3 linked regions of the Drosophila melanogaster genome follow. The protein of the gene in region 3 interacts with the protein of the main gene of each other region in a pairwise test. Each region holds a gene or a part of one and is shown on either strand. Other genes may lie near its edges. The genes, in order: CG4998, Cpr65Ea and Got2.

Region 1 (3,758 bases), on a different chromosome or scaffold from region 3:
TTTTGGACTTGAACTGCGACAATTTGGTGTGCGAAGGGGTATAAGAGAGAAAGGTATGGTGAGCGAAAGAGAAGGAGAGAGTGATTCAGTCGGAGGAAGCTAACAAAGTAGAGCAAACACGATTCCCACACAAATCCATTTGGACAAACAATTAACAAGTTGGCCATAATCAACATAGGCTATGTTGTAATAGTGCGGCCCAAGAAATGTGCAAAATGTTGGAGCGCACCATAAATAGATATGAGTATATACCAAATCCGAAATGCAGATCCAATAACAAGCCCCTGAACCTGTAACCCCATCGGATTACAAACTGTCCACCTGGCATTAGTTGTCTCCGGCGAGGTCCAAGTTCAAGTTCAGTTCATCACTCACTGGGATTTACCAATAGCCAAGTTTCAGCTAACTACCAAAATTATTTTTATCAGGAAAATCATTGTAGATAGCAATTAGCCGCATTCGTAGATACACTGTAATAGATGAGATTAAATTAAAACTTATAAAAACGTATAAAATCAACACATTATTTATATTGTTCTGCAAATATCAGGTTGTTTGAATGTTATCTAAATATTTATATTTAAATAAGATATGAAGCTTTTAAGACCTAATGAGTTATTAATCATGTATGCTAGTTTTCAGACCAGAGTATAACAAACGAAAATAGATGTATTAGTTACTGAAACGTACATTTAAATAAGTTTGATATTTACATTCGGAAAACCCTTTATAGATATTATATTAACAATGTATTAAAATCGATTTCCATCTTATTGATGTACCCCCAAAAAAAGGTAAGCCAAACGGAATTAAAAACGATGCAAAATAAGGTTCGTCGCACCTCCTTCGAAAAGCCCAAAGTGCTCGATAGTATGAGTCATAAAAAACCCGATGGTCAAAAACTACGCCACACGCTACGCTGATTGATAAAAACTTCGTGAATTAATCGCGAGCAAATAGCCAAAAGGTGTTTGGCAAACAGCCCAGAGTGGCGACAATAACAACTCCCGAGAAAAATCAATGTGATTAGCATAATTTTCGAAGCTCTGTTGGTCATTATCAACTTTCTTGGAATGCTTAACATAAAACGCCACTTAGGTGGGGGCTAGATGAACGACTGCAGCACATCGAACCAAGGTCAGTAACACAAGTGGAAGCCACTGGAGCCACTGAATCACAATGAGACTCACTCCGGCCGGGCAGCACTGACCATACACAACACAAACGCAAACCTGATAATGATTGGGATTTAAGGTAGTGGCACGCGAACGTGATCATCGTGAATAAGTTTGGGGGGAATGTCTCTAATTTTTATGAACTTCGGGTAATTCCGCCAAGCGCTTTTTACTCACAGTGAGCTAGGTTAAATAAAAAAAACGTTAAAATAAACGAAAATGAAACGAGTGACCGAGCGATGACGTTTGCATTGACCATGGGTTAAAAACCAGGCGATTTGAACTGAACTGCAACCAAAAAGAGAGGCAGATGTATGAAGTAAAAAAAAAATGGGGAAAGATGAATGTATGCCAAAAGATCCGGTTTGAGGCAATGCCCAATTTTACCCTTTTTCACGATGTTTTTATTATTCAGCGGTTGCTACTCTCTGACCCAATTCATAATTGCAGAATTGCATAATCCCGGTTTCTCAAGCAACGCCTTTCCGGGAAGCTAAATTTGGTTATTTAAAATTTGGTAAAATCATAAAAAAAAAAACAAAGCCCCATTTGGATGTTTAAGACAGTCAGTTATGTTTAAGAGATGTGTTGAATGTGATGATAGTTTCTGGGTTTCTTACTGATAATGAAGCTATCATAGTGATATTTCCGCCTATTTCCGCCTCGTTTACTGACCTCCAGTAGTTGGGCAGAATTGGGGATTTGAGGAAAAAACCCAGACGAAAAATCAACACTAACAGCGAAAAAGAGGGGTTGCCAAACATTGTCGCCGTCGCCGCTTTTGTATCTTTTGTTTTGGGCTACCGATTCGCAAACTAAGGCGGTATGAAAGCTAGAAGAAGACGGAATCAATGCAGACAGAGACAGCGAAACGTTGGAGCTTGACGTCGACGGCGCGCATGCACAGCTTTTGTATAAAATGTGCGCGGCCAACGAAAGCGAAATCAGTGAACGATCTGCAGAGCATCGAAGAGCACAATCGGTGCAGAAAGTGAATGAAGTGAAAGGATAAGAGACTCAGTAAATTGCATAAGGATTATCCGGACAACAGTGATAACTAACCAATTGGATTAATAAACTTGACACAAAAAAGGTGAGTGAAGTGAGCGAAATTAGCAAAGTGAACTCAAGTGAACCGAAAGCGAACTAATTTAAATGAATGGCTATTAGATGTGAATTATGAGTCTGCAGCACATGAAATTATGGTTGTTGCAAATATGCCTACATACATACACTTAATAAAAACTCTTGGCCAAGAGCCTCCGCGTCATTAAGCCAATCGAACAAGCGAAACTTTCACTGCGAACACAAAGGAAAAACCTAAAAAAATTTCCCAAACCCAACCAAACGGCAGTTAGCATCGCTTACGAGCACTTCTCGCCAAAGAAAATCCAAGCGAAAAAGTTGCCGGCAATTTGCAATGCAACGCTGCGCACAACTTCCGGCCGAAAAAGCAGGCCTAAAGAAATCCAAAGATACATTTACATAACTGGAAAATATATACTTGAAAAAAATCATAAAAAATAAAATATAACTCGAAATTGTAGTGTGTAATGCCGCTCTAGATGAATCAGATCTGTTTACATAATCATTTAAAATATAAATATATCTTCTTACTTAAGCATATAATTCCGAGTGGCAAAATTATAATTCTGGCTATCCTATTAGTTACTCCTTAAACCAATATTACATTCATAATTGATTTTTTTGTTAAGTGTAGCCGATCTTTTACAAAATCCGCCCTCGCTGTGAGCCGGTGACATAACTGCAATGCAAACGACCATAAAAATAAAGGCTGAAAAGAAAAGTGAATTTTACCAAATAAAAGAGACACGAAGCGGAAAGCGGCTGTCAGGGCGAGAGATCAAGTTGAGCGATGGTCTTCGGTGGGATTGCAGTCGTAGGCTTGCTAAATCTGTAGGAAAATTACCTCATAAATTACGGGGACCTGAAGCCAGCGATCCCCTCGCCATCCCGACTCGCATTTCGAGCAAAAGTAACGTACAAAATCAGGCAATTAAGTGCTACGGTCTGCGACCTCCAATGAAAGTAAAAGTCTTATACGAGAGTCTGAGTCACGGTGAAGATTTCGTGATGCTAACCGGTTTGGGCTTCGGATTCGGTTTTGTTACGGATTGGTTAAGCCAAAGATGGTATGAGGGATCGGTGGCTAGGTGGAGAAATGTAAACTGGCACAATGACTTGGGGTAATGGTGTCAAGCTCGCCACTTATGTCATAACCAATCATGACTAAACCTCTTAATTTATTTTCCACTCAAAAGAAAAGGCGACAAAGATGGTCAATCAATCACTTGATTAATATATCCGTAGATATTAGAGAATTGGTATCCTAAAGTTTTTCTATCTAATCATTTCACAGGCTTCACAATGAGAATAAGAACTAGCCTTTTGGCAGTTGTACTGCTGGCCACCGCCTCCTTGGCCGAGGAATCCAACTGGGGAAATGAGTGGGCGCCCATGGAGGATGCCATGCCCAGTCGCCGATCTGTCGATACCAAGCCCGCCGAACAAGCTGACATTCAGGGACGTTACCTCGTCCACGAGTCCATCCAGAGCAACAGC
Region 2 (3,203 bases), on a different chromosome or scaffold from region 3:
TGTGATTCGGATTATTATTGGGAGTTCTATGAATATTTAAATTTAACTTTAGATTTTATTAAAAAAAACTACATTTTGTTTTTAAGCTTTTTACCATTTTACCGCCATTTCTCGCCTATCCGCACCTGTGGTAAAATAAAGTCAACAAAGTAAGTCCACAGACTTGTTTTGGCCGCAAACAAGTTTAGCCCAATATCTTTGCACTTTCCATGTTATTTGAAACAAAGTCTCCCTCGAAGGTATTGTTTTCGCTTTTCGCCCACGTTGACCTTGGCCTTCAGCTGTTTAGATTGCCACAGAAAGTTTCTTCGGTTGTCCAGATTTCGTTTTGTAATCCTAAACAATAGGGAACTTTTGAAAATCATTTGGCAGTCAAAGAAACGAAACTCAATGGATTTTTGGCAACTTTCGAGCCACTGTTCACAGCAAAGGAAATGTCACGAGACTGGCGTTAAATATTCAGTATGAAGTGCGGAGCATTGTCTCCGCTTCGGCTAGAATAAGATCTATTATATTGCTCCACTAATTAGTTCTTTCCCAAGCGAATTAGATAGACGGGGCAAATAAGTGGAATTAACACCAGCCAAGAGCTGGTTGTGGTTTAATCGGATGGCTGGGATGATGAACACATCGTGTGATGACTACTTTGGCAAACTTAAGATTACTAATTTCCATTCAGCTCTAGATCTGCTGGGCGCGAACAGCACGATCGGCCAGCTCCTCGGGAGTGGGATGCTCCTGGATGTAGCGGATGGAGCGCAGGATCTCCTCTGGGATTGGTGGTGGAGTGGGCAGGAGGTTGGACTGTGGGTGGAAGCCGAACTCATCGGCGGTGTACACCACCTGGACGGGAATACCCTCGGGAGAGATGTAGGAGTACGATCCGTGAGCTTCGTGTCCGGCCAAACCCTCCTCCTTGATCTGGATACCGCTGGCCTGCTCGATATCATAGGCGTAGGTGCCGTCCGTATCCTGGTTGGCCAAGAACTTGGTGATGGTATCATCGTTCAGTGGCGCGGCCAGGGCGCATCCGAAAAGGGCGACGACGAGAAGCTATTGGTATAGAATTGTCCAATTAAATCACTGGATCCATGCAAAAGGAATCTGCCGTCCACTTACGAGCTTGTACATGTTGCTGCTGCTGGTTTGTTGACCGAGTGGCTAATGCTGTCACTCTGGGCCCCCGATTGACTATTTATAGTGATCCGATCCGATAGTCAAAGACAAAGCCAACATGCAGACACAGACTCCGAATATGCAAACAAGTCGGGCATGCAGAGCGACCCATATTTCGCCCAATAAACTGCTTTTGGCCACACGTTTTCATTCATTAATGCAAGGCATGGAGTTCAATGGAAGAGTAGCGACTTTTGGATACCCTTTTGAGTCTTTTTTTTAAGATTTATATAAATGTAGATTAATAAGTAAGCCAATAAAAATTAAACATAAAAACAAACATGAATCAGTAAAAGCTTAATTGATTTATATAAAGTCTGTTATGTTTTTAAAACGTGCACTAGCAATATTATTATTAAATCCACTCCTAAACTTAGCTATACCCTAAAAAATCATGAACTTGGGTGGAGCGCTGATGACACAACCTCAATGCATCAAAATCAAAGTCGAATGTTGCTCTTCGGCAAACATCAACAATGCTAAACGCCATCGAGATTGGCAACAACAACTACAACTTGTTAATTTAATCAACCCAACAATGATGATTGAAGTTACAACATTTCTTCGGCTCGAGACGCGAATCAACTTGGAATCGAAGGGCCAATGCCAATTTGCATAATACAAAACTCCCGAGCAGCAACAAATACCAGCGTGCATTTATTAATTTCTGATTGAACTTCCTCCGGTCTGAATTTATATATAGATAATACTGAACCCAGATCTGCACACTTGTAGGAAAAACTCAAGGGGTTAGCTGCTGCGATGATGCATGTGGGCGATGCGATGGCATTGACACAGAGAGAAATATTAATGCCTAAATGAAAATTAAACTGGTTTCTCACGCTTGTAAGCAAATCCGTCACAATTAGCTGGCGAAGGGGAAGTCCCTTAAAGTTTTTGCCAAAATTGATATTGCTCACACTGTAGAGGGTACTCCCCACCCCCGGCGTTTTTCTTTTTAAATATTTTTGAATCACTGTGCCACAGATATGATTTATTCACCGCGTAGTCGGCATATTTTTTTTCCTGTGCAATGGCTTCAGGCACGGCCATATGCTCTCGTCTCGGCACAGGCACTCATAGTATAAACAAGCATATTAAATTGTATTTTTCTTTTATTACATTATTATTATCTCTGGCAATAAATGTCAACGTCAGTCGAGCCGACAACGGACACGGAATGGAGAAGGAGCCGGGGTCAGAGGACGAAGGACCTTTGAGGAGCCCGGGAGCATGTTGATGGAAATGTATGATGGTTCCTACATATATATACAGTGTGTGTGTGTGTGTGTGTGTGTGTGAGTGGGTGTGTCACCGCGTCCAGATGTAGTTGCTCCGATGGTTCTTTCTGCTGCTTGATGTGCACTATATATGCTGGATGCCGTATGTTGGATGGTCTATGGACTATGCAAACAGACAGGCAACAACATGGACAGCTGGACAAGATGGATGCGGAGGCTACGGATGCAATGGACGGATGCAGCATTATAGCTTCCTGTCGTAGGGCAGGACCTGACCCACAGACAACACTGGCGATGACGCAGGTGCGAGCAGAGCACCGGCTGGCTGCAGATACTGCTTGCCCTGCTCCTGACCATGGCTCTGGTGATGCTCATGGTGGTCATGGTGATGGTCGTGGTGCTCGTACTCCCCATCCTCCTCCGGGTGGTTGCGATTGTACTCCAGCGACTTCAGGATTGCCTCGGGAATGGGATGGGGCGTGGGCAGGTGCTCGCCCTGCGGCTGGAATCCGTTCTCATCTGCCGTGTAGGTCAACTGGATGAGCTGGCCCTCGGGTGTGTAGTACTGTGATGAGCCGCTAGCGTAGTAACCACCCACTCCCTGCTCCTGCTGCGCAATCCCGTTGGACGTCTCGAACTGGTAATTGTAGATGCCATCCTCCTGCTTCAGTTCGTTGACAAAGCTCCGGATCTCGGCATGGGCATCCGGGGAATCGGAAGGCCGAGCCTGGACACCGAGCAGCACGGACATGGCCACAAGTACAACGACGTTCTGCAATCACATGA
Region 3 (3,758 bases):
TCCAACGGGCACTTCAGACCACTGTCCACACAGGCATCGGGATTGGCCAGCGGGAAGGGCATCTCGATGCCCAGGACCTTGCCGTGGACGACTGTCTTCACCGCCGTTGCCTCCTCGGCCAGGGCGAAGTCGATGGAGAAGCTGACCGTGGTGTTCCTCTTGAGGATGCACTCCGCCTTGGTGGTGTCGCAGCCCTCGATGGCCACCCGGGTGAACTTGCCCGTCTTCGATCCGCAATCGCTGAACTCGAGGGCTCCGGCGAAGACCACCAGTGCAGCACAGGCAATTACCGCGTACCTCAGCATTTTCTTCCACTTAATTGAATTACAAGGTAAACGTATCGGGTGGCTTTTCCGCTGGCTCTCGCCTCTTTCTGCCTCTTCACAGCGCTACGAATCTACTAAATCTGGAGAGAGTCCGAAGACAACGCAAAGCTTTCGTATGAACGGAAAACAGCTGCGCGCGGCGACTCAGAAGAAAGCTTTCTTCGACGATTGACGGGAGTGCTGCGAACTATCGCTTGAAGGGAATAAATATTATATATATTATAGCTTATATAACAATTATAAAATATAGTTATTTTAGAAAAGTAAGTATAATGTTTCCTGGCAACCATATATTAATTAATGGGGATCGCGGAGAATAAATATTTCATTGCCTACTTATGGGCATGTGCTCGAATACTGAAGCATATTTTCAAAATTCAAGTAATTAAACTTACAAAATGTAAATTTTTCCAAATATTCAGTATATGAAAGCCATAAATTAAACTGATTTTAAATAGTTTTTATTCACTCAGTCATATTTTGCACAGAAGCCAAGAGTTCGGTTAGAAAAAGTCCAAAAGGGGAGCACTGGCGAGCTTTCGCCCCCGCGATAAATATCGAATGCAGACCGGCAAAAGCTTCAGCTCACGACCTTTTGCGCTTGCCGCTTTTGTCTTTAGTATTCTCTTGAGGCCGGCGGCGATTGGCAACGTTTATTACAGTTTCTAATTGTTATTAACTTAAAGCTTAGTACAACCACCGAGTGCATTTAGCAATGTCGCAGATCTGTAAGCGCGGTTTGTTGATCAGCAACCGATTGGCGCCCGCCGCCCTCCGCTGCAAGTGAGTAAGCGGGACGGAGAGAGGGCTCCCAGCGGCCAGCGTGCGTGCTGGAAAGAGACAGCAGGCCGACGAACACGTTGCAGATGCAGCAGTGTCATTTGCCAAGGTCATTGCAGTTGCCGGTCGAGCTGCAGTGACACATTTGTGTTTGTTTTCCCCAGCACTGCATAATTTGTTTGTCCTTGCGGGCTCGTTCTCCAGTTTTAGCACTATACTAAATCTGTTATACGGATTTATTGTTATATCAGCACAGGGGCCTTTTATTTAATCATCTTTCGCTCTGGGCAAATGTAAAACAATTATTTCCGCTGTTTCCAGCTGTTTTTATCTCGTCGGCTAATATTTGCATATGTTTCGGGCCCTCTACTATACTATATAGACTGATTGGCCTATTGGCGGACGTATGTGTATTTATTTTTAAAGCCAATTCTGTGACGCTCCATGCTCTTTTCTGCTAATTTCATTCCACTTGAGGGAACATTTTGAAACCACATGACGACGGATGGGTTGGTAGAAAACAGGTGCCAAAATGAGCTTAAATCACTCCAACATTCTTGAATTATTATATTTTTAGTGGTTAGGAATAAAGAAATAATTCAAGTTTCAAAATATTTGAATTTGTACGAAATCAACTGTGAAAAAGACATCAAAAAGTATTTTTTCTACATCAAAATTGCAAGTTTAAGTTAATATTAAGTTATGAGTAGAACCATTATTATGACGCTTAAGGACATTGTGCATGTGTGGTCCAACGACCCGGGAGAACGGATGTGCCGAGCGAACAGAGTGTAGGGTATTCGTGGTCATATCACGCTTCTGTCGCGTGCTTTGATTTCCATTTTATGAAGCTCCTTGGCTTGTGGGCGGTTTGTTTTATCGAAGTCAGAAGGTTCTTTCCGGAAATCAAACAATCAGATCGAAAGACAGGTGGCGCCTAATTGAAAGAGTTTAATTAAGTTTAATAACTTCCACGATTTATTGCTGAATATTGAGAAGGAGATTTGGAAAGCCGGCTACGTCAGCAAACAATCATCGAGGTTATCGCTGACGTAGGCTTAAATGGATCTATATTGTATACTTTGTAATCGCCGACCGAGTTCCCATAATAACATGTTTACAGCTGATATGGGGGGGCTATTTAAGACCCCCGTGTCGTTGGGGGTACGAAGTGTTAACAGTGGGGGCGAAATCCAAGAAAACCTTTAGATGACTTTCAAACTTTAGTCATGAAAGCGAAATGATAAATGATAGCCACAAGTGGTCAGACGTGGATGAGATAACCTACTACTAAGCAGTTTCATAATCTACCAATTAAATTTAAAACAGATAAGGACTTCGTGGGGCGTTCTCGGGCATTCTAGGGTTAAAGGTTGACGGGCAATAGAAATCACTTGGCAAGTGTGGCAGATATAAGGATGTTTTTAATACATACGTGATGGATATTGTGATGCAATGATTAATATATCATTATTATTCTAGATCAACATGGTTCTCCGAGGTGCAGATGGGCCCACCCGATGCCATCTTGGGTGTCACGGAAGCCTTCAAGAAGGACACCAACCCCAAGAAGATCAACTTGGGCGCTGGCGCCTATCGCGATGACAACACCCAGCCCTTCGTGCTCCCCAGTGTTCGGGAGGTGAGTTCAGATCAAGTTTAAACTAAACCCAATTTTGAAACATAGTTATCGTTTATGACCAGGCCGAGAAGAGAGTGGTGAGCCGTAGTCTGGACAAGGAGTACGCCACAATCATCGGCATTCCCGAGTTCTACAACAAGGCCATCGAGCTGGCATTGGGCAAGGTAATTATATCCCTTATGACTGAGGAATGTCCTAAAAATTAATAAGTATTCCTTTATTACAGGGATCCAAGCGTTTGGCGGCCAAGCACAACGTGACCGCCCAGTCCATCAGTGGAACTGGAGCTCTGCGCATCGGAGCCGCCTTCCTGGCCAAGTTCTGGCAGGGCAACCGCGAGATCTACATCCCGTCGCCATCGTGGGGCAACCATGTGGCCATTTTCGAGCACGCCGGTCTGCCGGTGAACCGATACCGCTACTACGACAAGGACACCTGTGCCCTGGACTTTGGCGGCCTGATCGAGGATCTGAAGGTGAGGATTTACATTGCCACTGATTGATGTTCTTTGATATGCTTACCCATTGTTTATTACCTTTTCCAGAAAATCCCCGAGAAGAGCATTGTTCTTCTGCACGCCTGCGCCCACAACCCCACTGGAGTGGATCCCACTCTGGAGCAGTGGCGTGAGATCTCGGCTCTGGTCAAGAAACGCAATCTGTATCCCTTCATCGACATGGCCTACCAAGGCTTCGCCACCGGAGACATTGACCGCGACGCCCAGGCGGTCCGCACCTTCGAGGCCGATGGCCACGACTTCTGCCTGGCCCAGAGTTTCGCCAAGAACATGGGATTGTATGGTGAGCGCGCTGGCGCCTTCACCGTGCTGTGCTCCGACGAGGAGGAGGCTGCTCGCGTGATGTCCCAAGTTAAGATCCTGATCCGTGGTCTGTACTCCAATCCCCCGGTGCACGGAGCTCGTATTGCCGCCGAGATCCTCAACAACGAGGACTTGCGCGCCCAGTGGCTGAAGGATGTGAAGCTGATGGCCGACCGCATCATCGATGTGC

What was found.
Region 1: the proteins of Got2 (region 3) and CG4998 interact in a two-hybrid assay, tested with the Drosophila melanogaster proteins (one large-scale study listed by BioGRID).
Region 2: the proteins of Got2 (region 3) and Cpr65Ea interact in a two-hybrid assay, tested with the Drosophila melanogaster proteins (one large-scale study listed by BioGRID).

The regions. Positions count from the first base shown.
Region 1 is NT_037436.4:16,336,881-16,340,638, forward strand, and holds the start of CG4998 (uncharacterized protein), read left to right. Parts: upstream 1-2,122; 5' UTR 2,123-2,268; intron 2,269-3,555; 5' UTR 3,556-3,563; coding exon 3,564-3,758.
Region 2 is NT_037436.4:7,085,438-7,088,640, forward strand, and holds Cpr65Ea (cuticular protein 65Ea), read right to left. Parts: upstream 1,172-3,203; 5' UTR 1,132-1,171; coding exon 1,120-1,131; intron 1,054-1,119; coding exon 682-1,053; 3' UTR 566-681; downstream 1-565. Other genes in the region: Cpr65Eb (cuticular protein 65Eb), read right to left, coding at 2,662-3,189.
Region 3 is NT_033779.5:1,984,936-1,988,693, reverse strand, and holds the start of Got2 (glutamate oxaloacetate transaminase 2), read left to right. Parts: upstream 1-1,738; 5' UTR 1,739-1,808; coding exon 1,809-1,897; intron 1,898-2,588; coding exon 2,589-2,748; intron 2,749-2,810; coding exon 2,811-2,912; intron 2,913-2,974; coding exon 2,975-3,223; intron 3,224-3,292; coding exon 3,293-3,758. Other genes in the region: Npc2a (Niemann-Pick type C-2a), read right to left, coding at 1-305.